2 linked regions of the Caenorhabditis elegans genome follow. The protein of the gene in region 1 interacts with the protein of each later gene in a pairwise test. Each region holds a gene or a part of one and is shown in the gene's direction. Other genes may lie near its edges. The genes, in order: ima-2 and sld-2.

Evidence for each region.
Region 2: the proteins of ima-2 (region 1) and sld-2 interact in a two-hybrid assay, tested with the Caenorhabditis elegans proteins (one large-scale study listed by BioGRID).

The regions. Positions count from the first base shown.
Region 1 is NC_003279.8:6,307,993-6,317,767, forward strand, and holds ima-2 (Importin subunit alpha-2), read left to right. Parts: upstream 1-7,240; 5' UTR 7,241-7,254; coding exon 7,255-7,350; intron 7,351-7,444; coding exon 7,445-7,780; intron 7,781-7,823; coding exon 7,824-8,204; intron 8,205-8,248; coding exon 8,249-8,826; intron 8,827-8,872; coding exon 8,873-9,077; 3' UTR 9,078-9,275; downstream 9,276-9,775. Other genes in the region: C10G11.1 (uncharacterized protein), read left to right, coding at 1-149, 197-289, 339-433, 564-606; F26B1.5 (Serine/threonine-protein phosphatase), read left to right, coding at 1,122-1,205, 1,419-1,627, 1,680-2,043, 2,151-2,242, 2,301-2,415, 2,458-2,541, 2,586-2,789; col-58 (Nematode cuticle collagen N-terminal domain-containing protein), read left to right, coding at 3,286-3,438, 3,484-3,559, 3,658-3,777, 3,826-4,346; srg-14 (Serpentine receptor class gamma-14), read left to right, coding at 4,758-4,988, 5,333-5,695, 6,172-6,345, 6,388-6,600; hrpk-1 (Heterogeneous nuclear ribonucleoprotein K homolog), read left to right, coding at 9,725-9,772. UniProt on the Caenorhabditis elegans protein: Nuclear transport receptor that mediates nuclear import of proteins, and which is involved in sister chromatid cohesion. Binds specifically and directly to substrates containing either a simple or bipartite nuclear localization signals (NLS) motif.
Region 2 is NC_003279.8:3,737,228-3,746,157, forward strand, and holds sld-2 (Ribosome biogenesis protein NOP53), read left to right. Parts: upstream 1-4,223; 5' UTR 4,224-4,240; coding exon 4,241-4,328; intron 4,329-4,375; coding exon 4,376-4,575; intron 4,576-4,621; coding exon 4,622-4,675; intron 4,676-4,724; coding exon 4,725-4,868; intron 4,869-4,917; coding exon 4,918-4,997; intron 4,998-5,117; coding exon 5,118-5,301; 3' UTR 5,302-5,420; downstream 5,421-8,930. Other genes in the region: larp-5 (HTH La-type RNA-binding domain-containing protein), read right to left, coding at 63-251, 1,344-1,531, 3,030-3,107; math-46 (MATH (meprin-associated Traf homology) domain containing), read left to right, coding at 8,362-8,584.

The DNA.
Region 1 (9,775 bases):
CAAAACCTAAAAAACCTGTTGATGCGGCAATACCTGCGCCTCTGAAGACACCAGCGAAGGCACCTCGAACAAGAACAAAAGAGAGTGCGATTGCTCCGGAACGTGTATTCCTGGCGCCAAATGAAAAGCAGATTGGGGTTTCTCGCTACGTAAGTTTTTTTTCTCTCAGATCATCCAGCAATAATATTTTTTGAAGCAATTCGAGGCTTCACAGCCACCTACCACAAACAACAATGCTCTGACTAAGAAACAATCTGTTGACATGAAAATGCCAAAATCTACAGATCTGGTGTGTTTGTAAATGAAAAAATTTAAGTTAGTTTTAAAATAAATTTCAGCCTGCAGTTCCAACTCGTGCAATGACTCCCGGACCAAAACCATCTTGTGATCCTCCGAACAATAATAAAAGTGCAATGAAGATGAAGGTGATGCAGTGAGTTTTTTTCTTTATTTTAACTTATTTTAACCTAGAAATTGTGCGTAGTAGCTGTTCTCCAATTTTTAATCGAGGCACTGTCTCGTCTCCCCCATTCCTTATCACTTGAAAAAAAACGTTATTTCAGAGAACCTACTTGCAAAGAATTGGCTGTGGATAAAACTCAATGATCCTTTGATGTTTTCATTGTATAAAATTTATTGTCTTGTCTTTGCCTTTTTTTCTGTATTTTGTTGAATTCAGAGTATAGCTTTATTAATTAGTTCTCTTTTTCAATAAACTTGAAACAGGAACTCTGTTTGGGTGAGGCGCCACGGCGGTCACTATTGTAATATTTGCTCTATAATTACTTTAAAAGTTTAAAAAATACTTCAGAAAAAATAATACATTAATCGGATACAAGAATTAATATTTTTACGATTTTCCAGGCTTAATAAACTATTCCTTTTCCGGAAAAATGTTTATAATAATTTTCTATGTACATTTTTTATTTATAAATTTCCGTGAACTAATTTTTTCTGTTATTTTCGCCCATTTTTAGCCCATTTTTACCTTGTGATCAAAGAAATCAATCATTTTTTAAATTGGTGCGTAGTTTAATAAAACGATCAGTTACAAATATAGTGAGTTTTTCATATTATTACTTATTTTTATTCTTATTTTCAGCTTAACATCTTTCGATATAATGGCTGATGATAACATTACTCTCGATATTCACCAATTCATCAAAAGTCATTTGTTCGTCAAGAATTGGATCAATTACAGACAGGTGGGTTCGAACGGCAAAATTAAAATAATCTCGGCAACTTCTCAACCAACTTTAGAATCTTAAGAATGCCAAACGCAAAAGTTGCTAGAGTTGTGTAGAATGAAGAATCGCTCGCTCGCATATTTGTTTAAAAATTCATTTACTAGTCAGAAATATCAACTTCAAGTGAACTAACTGTGAAAAACGTAAAATTAATTTAAAAGATTATTTCAGCATGTATATGAAAAGTCAGACCTCCTTCTCTTGATTGGACAAATTATGGAACTTTTCAAAATGGAGAAAACTCTTGCTACAATCTCTCCGCCAGTTACAATTGTTGGTGATATCCATGGACAATATCCGGATCTTGTGAGAATTTTGAATTCTCGGATTTCTAAAGAAGAAGCTAAACAAAAAATAGTCACCAGTTATTCGTCAAACAGGTAATATTAATTGAATCGAAACAAATTATTTTTCCAAAGAAATTATTTGAAGATTTGTTTTCCTGGGCGACTATGTTGATCGAGGAAATCATTCAATTGAATGTATTTGTCTAGTTTTTGCTTTGAAGGTTCTCGATCTGAAATTTGTTTCCCTTTTAGTTATTATGTTTCAGATAGCGTATCCCACAAATTTCGTTTTGCTACGTGGGAATCATGAAACCAAAGCAATCAATTTTGCGTATGGATTTAGAGAAGAACTAGAGAATAGACTTGGAAAAAAGGATGGTTTCGAAATTTGGGAAAAATTCAACGAAGTGTTCTCTTTTATGCCATTGGCTTGTTTAGTTGGTGGACGAATCTTGTGCATGCACGGAGGAATTAGTGAAAAATTGGAGTCATTGGATTCTATTGATAGCGTATGTTTGACATTTTACGGGAATGCGAATTACACTCACCTGCCTCTTCCCCATTCCTCCGGAATTTTGCGAAAATTATAAATCGTTCACAACATAATAGTTTTTAGATCGTACGCCCACTTCCGGAAGTTACCGATTTGGCTCAAGATTTATTGTGGTCTGATCCAATGGATGTACAAACCTTGGCATCGATCAGTGAGTGAGTTGCATTCTGTTAATTGGAGTTTGGAATACTTATAGACAAAACTTACTTTTAGTACACCAAAGTATGCCAAGAACATTGTCCGTGGATTAGCACATTCCTTCAATGATGCAGCAGTACGAGATGTTTGCCGACGTCTAAATCTTCATTTAGTTGTTCGAGCCCATCAGGTATTCCAAATAACGATATTGATTTTTCATGACACATTCTAGATGATTCCCGAAGGATTCAAATTCAACTCGGACCGCAAGCTTCTCACTATTTTCTCGGCGCCACGTTACATGAATGAGAGTGATGTGAGTTTTTTTTCAAGAATTGTTTTTTTATTTTTATTTTTCAGAACCGTGGTGCCACGTTGCAAGTCGACGTAAATGGACAATTGAGTATTAGTGTAATGAGATACACAAAACCACTTCGTACAAAAGCTTTGGGTTCAGATGAAATCACTCGTGGAGACCATCTGCCTGATATTTCAAGAAAGAAATCAAACTCTTTTATTCCTTCTACATTTTCAAGTTCTAAGAGTACCAGCCTCAAAAAGTAGATATCTGAAATAAAAATTGATTATCTACCGCAACATTTTCTAATACATTAATGCAAATGGGCTCTAGCTAAATTAGCGTATTACATTTTCTGTAAAACATTTTTGATATATGCATCTTTATTTTTTGAAATTTTAAACTGTTTTCCAGAGAGCTGCCTTTTTACTGGTCGTTGGCTAATAGTAAGAAGGAAAGTGTTACATGTCGTCTGAAAGAATGCCTCCAAAATAGGTTCCTACAAAATAAGGATTTTGAATTTTCAACTAAAAAAACTCGCCTAACATGGCCGAAAATTGTAATATTTCTCTTGAAAAGAAACTCGCTCATTAGTTTGAAAATCAAGTATATTAGTAATCACATATTTGTGTGTATTATCTTGTTTAGTTGTTCTTCAATCACACATTACACCGTAATTACACTTTATCACCTCACCAACCCATCCTTCCTTTTCTAATCTAATCACCTACAATCATTCTTCGTTTTCTTCTTTTGAAGAAAATGACGGCTTCTTCTAAATGGGACAACGTCGCCTTCGGGTTATCAGCAGCTTGTCTCTCTGCAGCAATCGTGCTTTTAGTCTCAATTGCCACGTGGCAAAGTGAGATCTCAAGAATTACCGAAGAAGCTATTGTTGAGACTCAACATTTTCAGGTTTGATTGATAATTTTAGACTGAAGTTCATGAAGGTTTTCTTAGGAGACATCAGAAAAGATTTGGGATGATCTCGTTTTTGTAGCTACTGGAGAAACCGACCGACACAAAAGACATGCATGTAAGTTATTTTTTCATGAACTTTATTAGTTAAACATGATTTTTTATTAAACCTATGAAAAACTGATGGTGTCCCCGAAGAACTTTTTTTTTCTTCAGATTTGACACGCGCTCCAGTTGTCCCAGTAACAGGTGGATTCCAGACTGGAAGAACTGCGAATAGAGGATGCAATTGCCGTGGACCACCAGGACCACCCGGATTTAATGGGGAAGATGGATGTAATCGTTTTTATTGTAATTTATCTCATAATTTACCCCAACTTCCAGATGATGGTGAACCTGGAGTTCCGGGATCATCAGGAGGTGATGACATATCAGTGCTTCGTCACGATCCGGGACGATGTGCTCAATGCCCAGCTGGACCAATGGGACCACCAGGACCACGTGGACCACCTGGAGTACCAGGAATTACTGGAGCACCAGGTCTCGACGGAATCCCAGGAAGACACGGAACGCCAGGATATCCAGGAGAACCAGGACTTCCAGGACCGGTTGGAGATCCTGGTTTTGATGGAAAACCTGGAAACCCGGGAAATAATGGAGTACGTGTTCGTAGAATTCCCGGGCCACCAGGACCTCGAGGAGCCGAAGGAGATAGTGGAGTACAGGGAGGACCTGGTTCTCCAGGATTGGCAGGAGCTCCAGGAGATTCAGGAGCACCTGGACCACAAGGGCCTCCAGGACAAAAGGGAATGGATGGTACACCTGGTGGATTCGGGCAACCAGGACCTCAAGGTGTTGATGGAGAATATTGTCCATGTCCAAAACAAATAAAGAAATCTGTATAATTTCATAATATTTGAGAATAAATTTTATATCACAACAGCAACTCATAAACTGAACTGAATAAAGCAAGTCACAATCAACTATAGTAAACAAATAAATAACCAAATGTAGCTTTACTTGCCTACAATTAATACATTTTCAATGCTACAATAATATTTTTATAAATCATTAATTTTAATTTAATTGTTATTCGTTTTCCCAAGATATTCAAACAATTTATTATCAAAATGTTATATGTTTCGTGTTTAATATCATCATGTGTCCAAACTTTATAGACATGCAACCTTTGCGTGATCAAACATTTTTCTCTATTTTCGCACCCCTCCAGGCATAATTGGCACTTTGAGATTTTCTTTTCATTGAATTTCTATTTCCAATATTTCATTTTCTTTGTCGATCCTAGGGTCTTTAGAATGTCAGATTTCTCGCCTGACATGAAGAATCTTGATATTGATCCAATTCCTGTAGACTGTGATTTATCCTATAATACAAACATTGAAGTTTTAAAATTCACAGCTCAAATAATTTACATTATTACTGGGATATTTTTGAATTCGGCCGTATTGGGGACTATTCTCTGGAGATGTAGAGAAGTTTATTCCACGAACTCTTTTTTTACTCTTTTTTCGGTTGATTGTATAGCTGTAAGTGTTTTTTTTAATAACTCATAGTTTCAGAGATTTTCGGAAGAAATTAATAATTAAAATTTGCAACAAAAAAACAAAGCGCGGAGCATCGTATAATACAAAAAGGTTGTACTGAAAGAAAATTTCATGAAAATTTCATTTCTCTTTTGCCTTCGTTGCAAATTTTTTTTCCGTTTTATTGGTTTACTTGATTTTCTGGTGAGTATCAGAATTTTAATTTGAATTGAAAAAGTATAAACGAAAAAGTCACAAGTGCTACTATAAATTTATTTCGCTGTAAGACCTTTCTGTTTGAATCTGTTGTTTCATTAGGTTTCAAATGGGCACCGTACTTTCTTCAGAACATATCAATTCTTATAACAGAAGGTTTATTTGCTCGTTTCTTTATTTACTTTACACCAATATGCCCTGTTCTCGCTGATTACTTTCAATCTCCGCTTGTTGGGTTTAAGATTATAATGTTATTAACTCATCATGTATCAATTTGTAAATCCCTTTTACAAGTTTTGTTAGTTTTAAATCGAATGACGTGTGTCCTGTTTCCAATAACGCACGATTCAATATGGAGAAAAAGCTTGAAATATGTGATTAGTGCAGTTTTTTTAATTCCATTTTGTGCTGACTGGAATATTGCTATATCTCGAGTTTACATGCAATCCACGTATGGAGGTTTCTGGGTTAGCTATTTCAAGAAAGTTAGCTGGGTAAGTTCATCTGTTTCCATTTCTTTTTTGTTTTAAAACTAAAAGAAACTGAAGAAACTGTTTTAATGAACCACATACAGAAAAATAAAAGATGAACTGGAGAGACCCTTACAAAATAAATGAGTGTGACTTTAAGGATTCCAGATTATACCAAATTAGACATATTACCTCACATGCGAAAAACTACACTTTCGACTGAACTTTTTGTTCAACAGTCTCGGATCCCGAGACGAGTAAAATTTTTCAGCTACCGTACCCGCAACAATGATAGATCATCAATCTTTCTATTTGTCATTCTCTCTTTTTGTGTTGATCATATTTCTAGAATTATGCGTTTTTTAATTCTGAAATATTGAAAAGTTCTGGGAAAACGAGAAGATAAGCGGGTACAGTAACCCAACACACTTGTTCGTGACAAGAACTGAGGCTGGGAGCACATTAAATATGTACATTATATTTAATATTTATTGTTTCAGGCAAGCCAATCTCGTTTTCAACTTGTTTTTATTATTATTGCATTATCATTTACATTTATATGCACTGCAATTACTTTGTTAAAACTTCCAGAAAGATCAAAAGAAATAGAAAAAGCAATCTCTAATGCAACGGTTATCATATCCATTGGGTTCACTTTTAAAGTTTTATTTCAGGTTATTAACTTCTGAATTTTAAAAAATATCTAGAACATTCAGATATACTACAGCTTTTTCTTCTCATACACTGATGCATCAAGCCCCGTTTATGGATTTAGCTTTTTAGCTCTAGACTTTTTAACTGTTGGTTCTCCAATTGTAATGATATGTGTTAGCAGAAATCTTCGAACTCACATTTTTAAAAGTAAACGAAAAAATCAGACACTGTCAAAAATGTTAACTAGAACTTCCGGAATGGTGATTGCTCGTTGAACTTTTTCGAATAAAGTATTGTTTATTCAACAGTATGTTTTATTCAATCATGTTGAAATGCATGCTGCACCGTTTTTAGAACTACGGTAGATTACTGTACAATTAAGGTTAGATATATCGTGGTATTTATATTGGAGTTTGTGTTTTCTGCATTTTTCATTTTTGTAGGGCTAGAAAATCTATATATTTTCGGAAGTATAAATCTTTTCCTCAAAAACATTCCATGAATACGCATTAATGCGATTTTTTAAAAGCAAACAATTCGATTTTAAGTTACCGCCAAAAATCAGTTTGGCGCCAACGCTCTTTATTGGCGCCTTATTCGCTTCAACATTTCGAATTTCGGCGCGAAGGTTACACTTTTTGATAACAATTTTGGGCCGCGGCGCTCATTTCTGCTTTCATCGCCCAATGTTTCCTCCTTTTCTTTCTTAAATAGTTTCACCACTCATTCTTTTCAACTGAATTTGTAATATTCTCATGAAATTTTAGTTCTGTTTAACTAGTTCCCATTTATCTCGTTGCGAAATTTATTATTAAAAAGTATGGAGGTGATTTATTCCGAACTTTTTCGAATCAGAAACTCCTACTTTTTTCTAATAGTGTTATTTTTGTTTAATATTCACATAAGTTCTTCCAGATTGAAGCTTAACTATGACTCTCACCGAAACCAGCCTGTCTCACAATGCCGAAGAGGGAAAGGATGAGGGAGGCCGCCTTCAACAGTACAAGAATCTCACCAAGCATGAAGTATGTTAAATTATTGATAACAGATTTCATGCAAAAATGTTACTATCCGACTTATTTAAAGTAATTGCGAGATTTATTTATTTGTTCTGTTCAGGAGCTCCGTCGTCGTCGTACTGAATGCAGTGTTGAAATTCGAAAGCAAAAAGGAGCGGACATGATGATGAAACGCCGTAACATCGTCGACGTCGATGAAGGTGGCAATTCGGAATCGGAGCTCGAGGAGCCAGAGAAGATATCTCATCAGCAATCATCAACCCGTTTGTCAAATGATGAGATTAGAGCTATTCTCTCCAACAATCCATCGGAAGATGATATGGTTCGATGCTTCGAGTCGTTGAGAAAATCACTATCAAAGACGAAGAATCCACCTATTGATGAAGTCATTCACTGCGGTTTGCTTCAGGCTTTGGTTCAGGCATTGAGCGTTGAGGTAGGTCGATCTTTATTTCCATTCAATAATTTCCAATTTTCAGAACGAGCGTGTTCAATATGAAGCAGCTTGGGCTCTTACCAATATCGTTTCCGGTTCCACCGAGCAAACAATTGCAGCTGTTGAAGCCGGAGTAACAATTCCACTGATCCATCTTTCAGTTCATCAGAGTGCGCAGATCTCGGAGCAAGCTTTGTGGGCAGTCGCTAACATTGCTGGAGACTCATCTCAACTTCGTGATTATGTTATTAAATGCCATGGAGTGGAGGCGTTGATGCATTTGATGGAGAAAGTCGATCAACTGGGAGATTCGCATGTTCGTACCATTGCATGGGCATTCTCCAACATGTGCCGTCATAAGAATCCACATGCCCCATTAGAAGTTCTTCGTGTTCTGTCGAAAGGTCTTGTCAAACTTGTTCAGGTAATTGTCAAAATGTTCGATCGCAATTAACGTCTTCACTTTAGCACACGGACCGTCAAGTCCGTCAAGACGCATGCTGGGCTGTTTCTTATTTGACTGATGGACCAGATGAGCAAATCGAATTGGCACGAGAAAGTGGTGTGCTTCCTCACGTCGTCGCTTTCTTCAAAGAAGCTGAAAACCTTGTTGCTCCGGCTCTCCGAACTCTTGGTAATGTTGCAACTGGAAATGACTCGCTGACACAGGCGGTTATCGACTTGGGATCACTCGATGAAATTCTTCCATTGATGGAAAAGACGCGATCATCAAGCATTGTGAAGGAGTGCTGCTGGTTGGTGTCCAACATTATTGCTGGAACTCAGAAGCAGATTCAAGCTGTCCTCGACGCAAATCTTCTCCCAGTTCTCATCAATGTTCTGAAGTCGGGAGATCACAAGTGCCAGTTCGAGGCTTCTTGGGCTCTTTCTAATTTGGCTCAAGGGGGAACAAATCGTCAAGTTGTCGCCATGCTTGAAGACAATGTAGTGCCTGCTTTGTGCCAAGCCCTTCTTCAAACTAACACTGATATGCTGAATAATACTTTGGAGACTCTGTATACTCTTATGCTCACTGTTCAGAATGGGTATGTTTTTATTAGATAATTAGCACTCTCAAAAATGTGATTCCAGTTACCCTCACAAAGTGGACATTCTTCACGACCAAGTCGAAGAGAATGGTGGACTTGACAGTTTGGAGCGCCTCCAGGAAAGTCAATCGGAGCAGATCTATACTCAGGCTTACCGCATCATCACTCAATTCTTCACCGACGATGATGCTGGAGAGAAGGAGTCTCATGAGAATGCCGATCCACAAGATAACAAATGGAGTTTCTAAATTATTTCACACTTATCATCATTCTAGTAGTCATTTCATAGTAACATTCTTCTTTCTCACATTTAACATTGGATTGTTTTTTTTAGAATTACCCTCATCTGTGTGTATTACCCGTATTTATATTTGACCCCGTTTTAACTGATCTCTTCACTTTAAATTGACAATTTGTTTAGAATGAAAAGAAAGTGGAACATATGATTTTTATAACCGGGAAAACGATGCGCGTATTTTTCAATACGCATTCATGTTTCTTTGTTGAACTGTTCACTCGCTAATTTGAACATCCGCGTTTTTGTCTATGTGTTCGTCGCGGGACCCATCTGAAAATTGTCTGCGCCTTTAATCTGGACTCAATATCCCTTGTTTTTTCTTTTCTTCCGGCTGAACTGAAATGATGCCTTTTGTCGTTAATTTTAATGATTTTATCACGAAATTTGAAAAATAATTTCCACTTGAAGCATTTGTCACAATAATGTTTGGTTAGGATAACAAAACTTGACAAGATCCGGCTCATAGTCCTAAAAAAGTTTTTTAAACTTCTTCACAGCTATTTCTCGGTTACTTCAAATTTCTCAGCTTTTTCCAATAATTAAAATTCAATATAATTCGTTAAATCACACATTAATTGCAGTACATCCAAACTCAAAATGATGATCAAAGTGGGAGCCGCTATTAATGGAACAGACAGTCCGAAGGTA
Region 2 (8,930 bases), 2.6 Mb from region 1:
TTTCACTATGAAACTAGTGAAATTTCGAATATTTATTAAATAAAATCGGCACCGGCACTAACCTGGAAAAGTAGTACTCCAGTTGATTCTTCAACAGCTGCTTAATCTCTTCACGACTCAACGGTGGTGGTGGTGGAACTGCTGGCACAAACTGATTCGTTGATGATGATGAGGGCATCGACATCCCCGAAGAAGGTCCCGGCGGCTGGGGGCCGATCATCATGAGTGATGATTTACACTCACGATTGAACCTGGAAATAGAAGAAATTATAGACGTGGTGGAAAAGAAGAGAAGACAACGAATACAACGAAACGGCGAAATCAGAAGAGTGAATCGATTTTAAAAGCTTCTTGTATATCTTTTTGAATCCTAATTAGTGCATTCGGATGGGATGAAGAGAAGAAGCTAAGAAAAGTGAGAGAAATAAAGAACTGACATGCTGTTTTTGATTATGTTTCTCTCCATCTCTCTCTACTTTTCTTATTCTTCTTCTTTTTCGTCTCGGGATTGAAAATACGAGGCGTACGAATGAACGGATGAATGGTGTCATTTGTTTGGGTTTCAGATGTACAGAAACAGGAGTGATGCGTGGGATGTTTCGGAATGGATAAGAGAAGACGATGTCCCGCGGAGTCAGAGCGGTGTCACGCAGTCTTCGGAATGCTTTTCATACTGAGACAATTCGAGATTCTGGGAATTTGCTTTCCTTATTTAAAAAATACGTTTTTTTTGAAAGGCGAAAACTAGTTTAATCAGCAGAATTTTTTTGAATTTTTGTTGTAAAAACTAGGCTTTATCGACATAATTCTCCATTTTCCCATCGGGGATCGCATCAAAAAAACGAAACAAACCGCTGGAATGAGGAAGTAACACAAATTATAGCGATCATGTTGTACGACGACGGCTGTGTGATCTGGTCACTTTGGAAAGATGAGTGTAAGGCGGATGAACGGGCGCGGCGACGAACAAGCGGGGGGGGGGGAAGTAAGCGCGAGTGAGGGGCGATGAAAACCACTTTTGGACAGAGGACAGGGGGACGAACTGTGAATGATGGTGTGCCGAGAAAGGAGATGCGTTCGCGATCGCACAGAGAGCGAGAGCCAGCAATGGAGATGATTCATCAGTCGATACGGACGTTATGAGAGTGTACACAGATCCGAGAGAGTCCAGAGAGAAGGGTGGCAGCTACGCACGCATCATCAGGAACAAGCAGCAGAACAGTTTTTTTTTTGTTGGGACGAACATGAAATAAGATCATGATGCAACAGAAAAGAAATGATAGTCGACAAAAGCGATTTTTAAAAAAGCAGCAGCAGCAGCAACAGTAGCGACGTTCGCTTACCAATAAGGAAGTGGAGGTGGTTGGGGAATACCGCTGGCACCCGACGCTGATGTCGACGGTGACGTGCCTGGTGAGTGGGCGTTAGATGTTCCCACAGAGGAGCCTGGTGAAGATGTCTTCTCCACTGCCACCTTTCCATCGAACTTTCCCACCATTCTTTCAATTTGTGACTTGTCGATTTGGATTGCCTATAATCATAATCCGTATCTTTACTTTGAATGCATTAATTTTTTTGGCATCGTTTTCCCCCATAATTTTGAAAATTAGCTTGTCCTACGCCCACTATGCGAACAATTAGTAATATTTACTCAAAAGTTTTTGCAAAAATTAGAATAATATTTTCCGGACTTGATCAAGCACTAATAATATCGTTAAATCATTAAAAACCCTGCAACTCAAAGGCTGTTGCTAATGATAAGAGTGTGCAATTGATTTTCTGGGAGGGACGCGAAAAATGTGGCTTATCAGAGGTGAGAAAATGGCAAAATTCGTGTGTGCAAAAAATCACGGAAATGACGAATTTCGGGGTGGCGGAAGAGACTGTTTCGTGGAAGAAAATAATGATTTCTCAATAGGGGACGGGAAAAGCTTTAAACAAACTTTGACCTAGAACTTTTTTTTTAATTTTTAAAATTTAAACTTGGAGTAAAGTCAATTTCTAGAAATTCCCGAAAACTAAAAATTCGACGCTGTACAATTCAAAATAAGAGAAAAATTCATAAATTTTTTGTGGGTGCTGTCAATGCGATACTGCCGTTGGAGACACAAAGGAGAAAACATAGTAGGCTGCGGGGTAGCTAGCCTGAGACACGCATAAATTGAGATGTGATGACAGAAGAGGTTAAAGGTGTGCGCGTACATACACATACATTTTTTTATGTCTTTGACCCAAGAAGGACCAGTTCTGGAAACACAATCGATCAGAAGCGACAAATATGCCGTTGTGTGAACCTTCGTGACGTCACGGGAAGAATTGTTTTGGAGTAATCACATTTTTTCCTCTATTATACATTTGTCTAAATTACGTCAGAGTCAGAAAGGAAAAAAAAGTTGGTGCCTATTAATTAAACATCATAAAGATTTGATAATAAATATATACGTCTATTTTCAGAATTCAGTGGCAGAATTCAATGGCAGAATGGGGCAAGAAGTAGACAACACACGGGAAAACTCTACGAGAAATATATCCAGGCAGGTGCAATTCAGCTGCCAGAATACTTAAAAAGTACTTTGGAAACTGTTATTCAAACGGGGGCTTTGCGTCATACGTTTTTAAGCGAAATATACTTTTTGCAGATGCAGAAAATGAACTTTTGAGATGATTCTTCCAAAATATTTCAGAATTATTTTAAAATTGAGAAAAAAAATTATCTTTACTCAAGGAAAGCACGGAGTATTTCTAAAAATTATTTCAAGCAATATTTGAACTCTCCGTGAAATATTATGGAGCGCACGATATACGACTTAAAGAAAAGTGAAACGAGATCCGGTTTTTATGGTATAGGTGCGAAGACTAAGTGAAAGTAGACGTAGAAGTAGCTGACACTTTTCGATAAAAAACCCCTACTAAAATGGGGTTTGTTAACTTTTAAAGTAGCCATTTTATTTTTCTAGTTACATACAAATCTTTAAAGGAGTGTTTCGTTACACAGAGGCACGCCCGAATGCAAATTAGATGACACAAACCTTCTGAACGACAAAGTTTCGCGGTGACACTTCTGTGCAAATGTAGAAGGCGTCCGAGTCGAGCTCGAACGTGTCCATCTCCGAAAAGGGACGTCGACGCCGTGGAGAATGGTGAACGAAGGAGAAGAAGTCAGTATCACGTCATCCGACTTATGGAAGCGAATGGAGAAGTGGGTGGTGGAGAAGAAGGAGCGTAGAGAGGGGCGACGGGCGCAGCAGCAGTGGCCAGACTCTTCTTCTCTGACCGTGTCGTGTCAGCCGGTTTTGTGAGGGCAGAGAGAGAGAGAGACACGTTGAACGACACAAAGAGACGGAGACAACGCAAAAAAAAAGTGAGAAGGGGAATGTGTGCACAATATGGTACGCAGACGACGATGTGAAAAATGGAGGGACGAATGGCAGGCAACAAGAACTGGGAAGAGGAAGAAGACGCGCTTCTCGATTGTTTTTTCTAGAGCGAAAAGCCTGGAATATACTGAAGGCAGCGGACGGGGCTCTCCTGCCATCATTAGGGACCCGCAAGAGAAATGAAATAGAAAAGCAAGGGAGATGGAGAAGAAGTATGGAAACAGAGACATATCCCTTTTCAGCAATTCTTCGATTAGTTCGACAATTTCATGGAGCCAAGGTTTTGGAGTGGAGAGAAAGTTGAATTCAATGAAAATGTCATTCGGCTAAATATTTGATAGAGGAAGATGATGTTAATGTTAAATAACAAATTATTTAGTACAATTCAAGGAATACAGCTTCAAATTAGTCAAATGTTTACAAACTTTACAATAAGGAGTTGAATTTAATTAAAAACCAAGTAGAATTATTTAAAATTTTATTCCTAATATGGAATAAGCACGCGTTTCCTAATTGACAGTTCATATTCTCTATTCATATTATCCTATTCAGAAAATTTCATCAAAATATCAGTTTAAAAGCAAGAAAATACAGAAAAAAGGCTACAAATCTGGAAATTTTCAGATAAAACGTGGAAAAAATATATAAAACAGAGCTGCGATTCAAAGCAAGCGCTGGAAAAGTGTGCGGTGGAGCGCACTTGCCACACATTTTTGGCGCGAGTTTTGAAAACAGCTCCTGGTTTTTTGGTTTTTGCTCTCATTTTCTCTATTTATTTTCTTATTTTCTTTGTTTTCACATGTTTTCTGCCGAATCTTTTCGATTTCAAATTAAATTTTTAAATTATTTTCAGCCCGAACGTAATGGAAGAGTGGAAAACGTCTTTCCGAGAGATTTATGGAAGATCACCAACGGCAGGAGATATTTCTGTAGCTCCGAATCATATTAAAGGTAATTAATGGAAAAAAAAACGTATTTACATTAAATTATTATTTCAGCTATACTTCAATCTGAAAAGAAGGAGAATGACGAGAAAATCGAAGAGAAGCAAGCGAAACGTGGAGTGAAGCGGAAGAATTTCGAAATGAAAATGATGGAAGGCGAGCAATTCAGCCCTATCAAAAAACGAGTTAATCTTAATCAGCTCGGCTCGGAAAATGATAAAAATCCAATTCCACTGAGATCTTCACCCAGAAAGGTTGATATCGCATTAAAAACTGCTGAAATTTAAAATAAAATTGCAGAAAATGATTGCGATCGAAGTTTTGCCGGAAAAGAGCATGGTGTCGCCTAAAAAGGTTTGAAACTTTAATAATCTTTATAATAATAAAATAAACTAAATTTCAGAAGCCAGTGGGATCAGTTCCGTTCGAATTCGACGACTTTTCCCCTGTGAAGTCATACTCCGCGAGCACATCAAAATCTGCCGTTAAATCTACGCTAACACCGATCAAATCTCCAACAAAACGCGCTTACCAGAGACCATTGAGGGTTTGTTTTATTTAAATACTAATTTAAAATTTCCATTTTCCTATTTCAGGATCTCAAAATGCTTCTCTTACCAACGCCGGAAAAGGGTCAAGAAGTTGAAGGTCCGGTTGAAGAATTCGATGATGAGACGTGAGTTTTAGATTTTCATTGAAATTTCGAGCTTTAATTTTCGGAAATTTGCAGATTCCAGGCTATTTTAAGCATTTTTTTGACACATTTCATGCAAATCAATCTATAATTTTTTTTCAGAAACGAAGATGTTGCCAAAGCACGTTCCTACAATCCAGCAGCCAGAAAACTCGGCGGTTCATCAAAAAGCGATCAAAACTTCCAGAAAATCAATCTGAGAAAGAAGCAATTCGTTCGCGGAAAAGTTACCGCAGAGCAGAAGCGAAAGTTGAAGAGAAAACAAATGTTCAAGAAGAAGTACTGAATATTCTAATTTGTCTAGAATTTCATTTTTACATTATTATTATTCGGATTTTTATGTATTTTATTTTATCATTCACTTATCGGGTTTTTCAAAAACCGCAATAAAAGTTTTAAAGTTTTTTTTTTTTAATTGCGTTCTGGGGCAGGAGAACTAAAGCTTCAACTTTTTTCGAATCGGAATTTTAGGGAATAAAAATAGAGTGCATTTTTTTTTGGTTAAATTCATATTACAGAGATGAAATATTGATATTTTGCACGAAAATACTGTACTCGGTCTCGAAGCGACCGATTTTTAATTATTGCAAATAAGTGTGCGCCTTTAAAGAGTACTGTAGTTTCCAATTCCTAATTTTCGCCAAATTTTCATCGATTTTTCATAGTTTTTCTCCAGGTTCTTCAAATTTTTATGTATATGTTTTATGCATTTTCACATTTTTTCGATAAATTTTCAAGAAACGGGGGACAAATTGAGATAGTCAATTAAAATATGGCAGCAACAAAAAATTTCCAACAACAGTACCCTTTAAAACCCGGTCGCTTCGAGACCCGTCTTTTTACATTAAAATCGCAAATTTTCGCAATATAATAAGCAGATTTGCAAATATTTCAGGGTTTTTTAGATTGAAAATAGTTTTGAAAGAGGAAAAATCTCTATTCAGACTTCCAACTTGAATTTTTTTTCTAATTTTTCAATTCGATGCCAAATCCCTTCAACAATGTATATATACAGCAATGTAACCGATAATGTGATATTATCGGTTAACGATTCCAGTTGATGTTGAGGATGCCGATTTGATAGCCAACCGATCGGAGGATGTTTTATGGCTAATTACAGAGAAACCCGCTTTTTTTCTGATCACATTTTACTTTTAGTTTCGAAATGTTCTCCAAAGCATTTGAGAACTTTTCCTAAAGTTCCATCCTTTCCACAACTTTCAAAAAAAAAATCGAGTTTCTGAGAGTTCTAATTTTCCAAAAAATAATTTTCGAAAGCTGGAAACGTCAAAATAGGTTCTCAGTCTATTTGGTCGTGCTCTCATGGTAGGCAGGTCGACCTTGATGCCTACCTACCTTATAGTTGCAGATCTGATATGTGCACAAATGATTTAGGCACAAGACAAGCACAGTAGGCGAAACTCAAAAGCAGACAGTTATCCATGTTTGTCCTTACCTGGAAGTTAGCGCATCCAATTTTTTTTAGAAATGTGTATTTAAAATTGTAGATTACTGAGGCGATACTGTAGTCTTTGTCAATTTCATGCCTGTGTGTCTAAGCTGCCTACGAAGGTATGTAGGTACAAGTGTAGGCAAGAGGCAGGCATGTAGGCATTCTAAGCTTTAGTAAGTTCTTTTACGTTAACTCGAAATAATTGAATTTTCCCTGTTTAGTTTTTATTTGTTGGAATTCTTTATTTAAATAGCCAGAGCACCACGGGATAACATATTTTTGTAAATTAACTGTTAATAATAAAAATGTCTCGAAAACAGTTGAGAATACAGCCATAGGCACTACACCTACCTCATTCCTGCCTGCCTATAAAATCTTACCGTAGCAGCCTTCGTTTTTCGACTACAATTCTTTTTTTTTGAAATTTTCTGAAAATGGTTCAGTTTAGACGGGGACACTGACCCATTTAGTCGATCAGTACCAAGATGGAAGAGCTTTCCGCGCTTGACGGCCACGTTCTCCTTTTATATGAAATATAGGTCCCCCGCTCTCCTCATTCACCAAATCCAAATTTAAAGCAGTTTTCCAGTCCATTGAACACAAAGTAGTGGTGTTTCAAGTTACAAACACAAAAACACTTTTTTTCAATTCTCAAACACCCTCAATGATGACGAATTCCGGTTTGCAACGCGAGACGGTGGCAAAAGTTGTATGGTTCTGATGCGATTAACGCGAATCATTTGGGTCGGCGCCAGAATTCTCTGAATTTGTATAAAAGTTTCGTGTGCTGAAACTGATTGGAACTATAATTTAGAGCTAGAAATGTGTGTTTTTTTATGATTTATGTATATGTAGTCGTATAGAAAGTACGAGAAATATGTATTATTGTTTAAAAACTTGGATCATGAAGTTTTACGAGTTCTCAAAAATTTGCTTGAAATTCTGGGGAAACCATGAAAATAAGGTAGTGCTCAAGCTATTGCTGCCATTGGAAAAGTTTTCCGAGTTTAGAAAATTCTAGGCTATAGTTTTTTGTAACTTTGGGTTACTGTAGTAATTTCTAACAAAATACAGTACAATTTATCAATACAAATAAAAGTTTTAATTGTTACTTTAATTTTCACAATTAATAGCCCATTTCCCATTCTATATGTATAGGACGATAAAAAACTAACGAATGCCCCCAAACAAATAGACACCAACATTAAATATTCTCACTTGCAAATGTCAATTTCTGCATCCTCACAGCAAAAGTGCTCTATTTGTCTTGGCACCGTGCCAACTATATTTGAACATTTAACGACGCTGGACGGGAGAACAAAGGGGCTTTTAATTAAAAATTCTGAATTTTTTGCCCCACATTGATCTACTTTGGCAGTTTGTATCTCGGCTCTATTGTGCTTTATCAAAAAATGTTCAACTGACACAATACTTGTAAAATATTTATCTACATTCTTTAGTTTATCATTTTTTGACAAAACCAAAAAGAACCGAGAAACGAGCTGTCAAAGTAAATCAGTGGGCGTGCAAATTACTGGTAATATACATAATGAAAGCCAATTTGGAACACCTCGTGATTCAAAAATTTAAAATTCATAAAAGTTAAAATTTCTGGAAATTAAAAATTAAAAATATCTCCATGATTTTGCTGTGTTTTGTTCTGAAGCTTCGCCAATTTTATAGAAATATTCATATCGTTTGAAAATAATTCAAATTCTCGTGACCTTCCCAGAATTAAACAAAAAACTAAAATTACACTTACGTTTTTTTTTATTTACATCATAAAAATTTCGATTTCAATTTTATTGCTTGATTTTTGGGCAAGCTCATCTCTTCTTGGATAGTGGTTTTCTGTGAGGAAAAATCGTCAAAGTTTACCAATTCTCCGAAAAAATGCTCAAAATTTTGTTGAATCTCTTGATGTTGTTTGGCTCGCCGATACTATTGCTGCTCGTTCAATGTGGTGGAAAGAAGAAAGCAAAATCGGGAAAATTGACAAGTGAAGGTGTTGAGGAAGGGGATTCTGAAGATTCCACAAAGGATAAGAAGAAAAAGGGAAAGAAGGGAAAAGGTGAAGGCCTTCATTCCGAGATGACAAACTTTTTGGGTGGCAAAGGTTCTTTGGGGGCATAGTATCCAAGGAGACAAAGGATCCAGTAGACAAACTGGGGTGTATCTTGGGGGGCATATCTTTGGTGACAACCTTTTTTTCCACTAGATTTTTATATGTATTTTTCAACTAATTTTTGTTCACATTTTTCTGGAATAAGTTTTTTAATGCAATTTTCAATCGATTATCGGTTATAATTCCCTCACAATTGAATGTATGAACGATGGTCTTTTGGGAAAAGCTGTAAAACGTCCAACTAACTTGGAATATCGTGAGGCTCTTCCTGATGGTCTGATCCTTCAGCTCCGAAGGATCACATGGGTACCTTCTGATGTTCTGATCCTTCAGATAA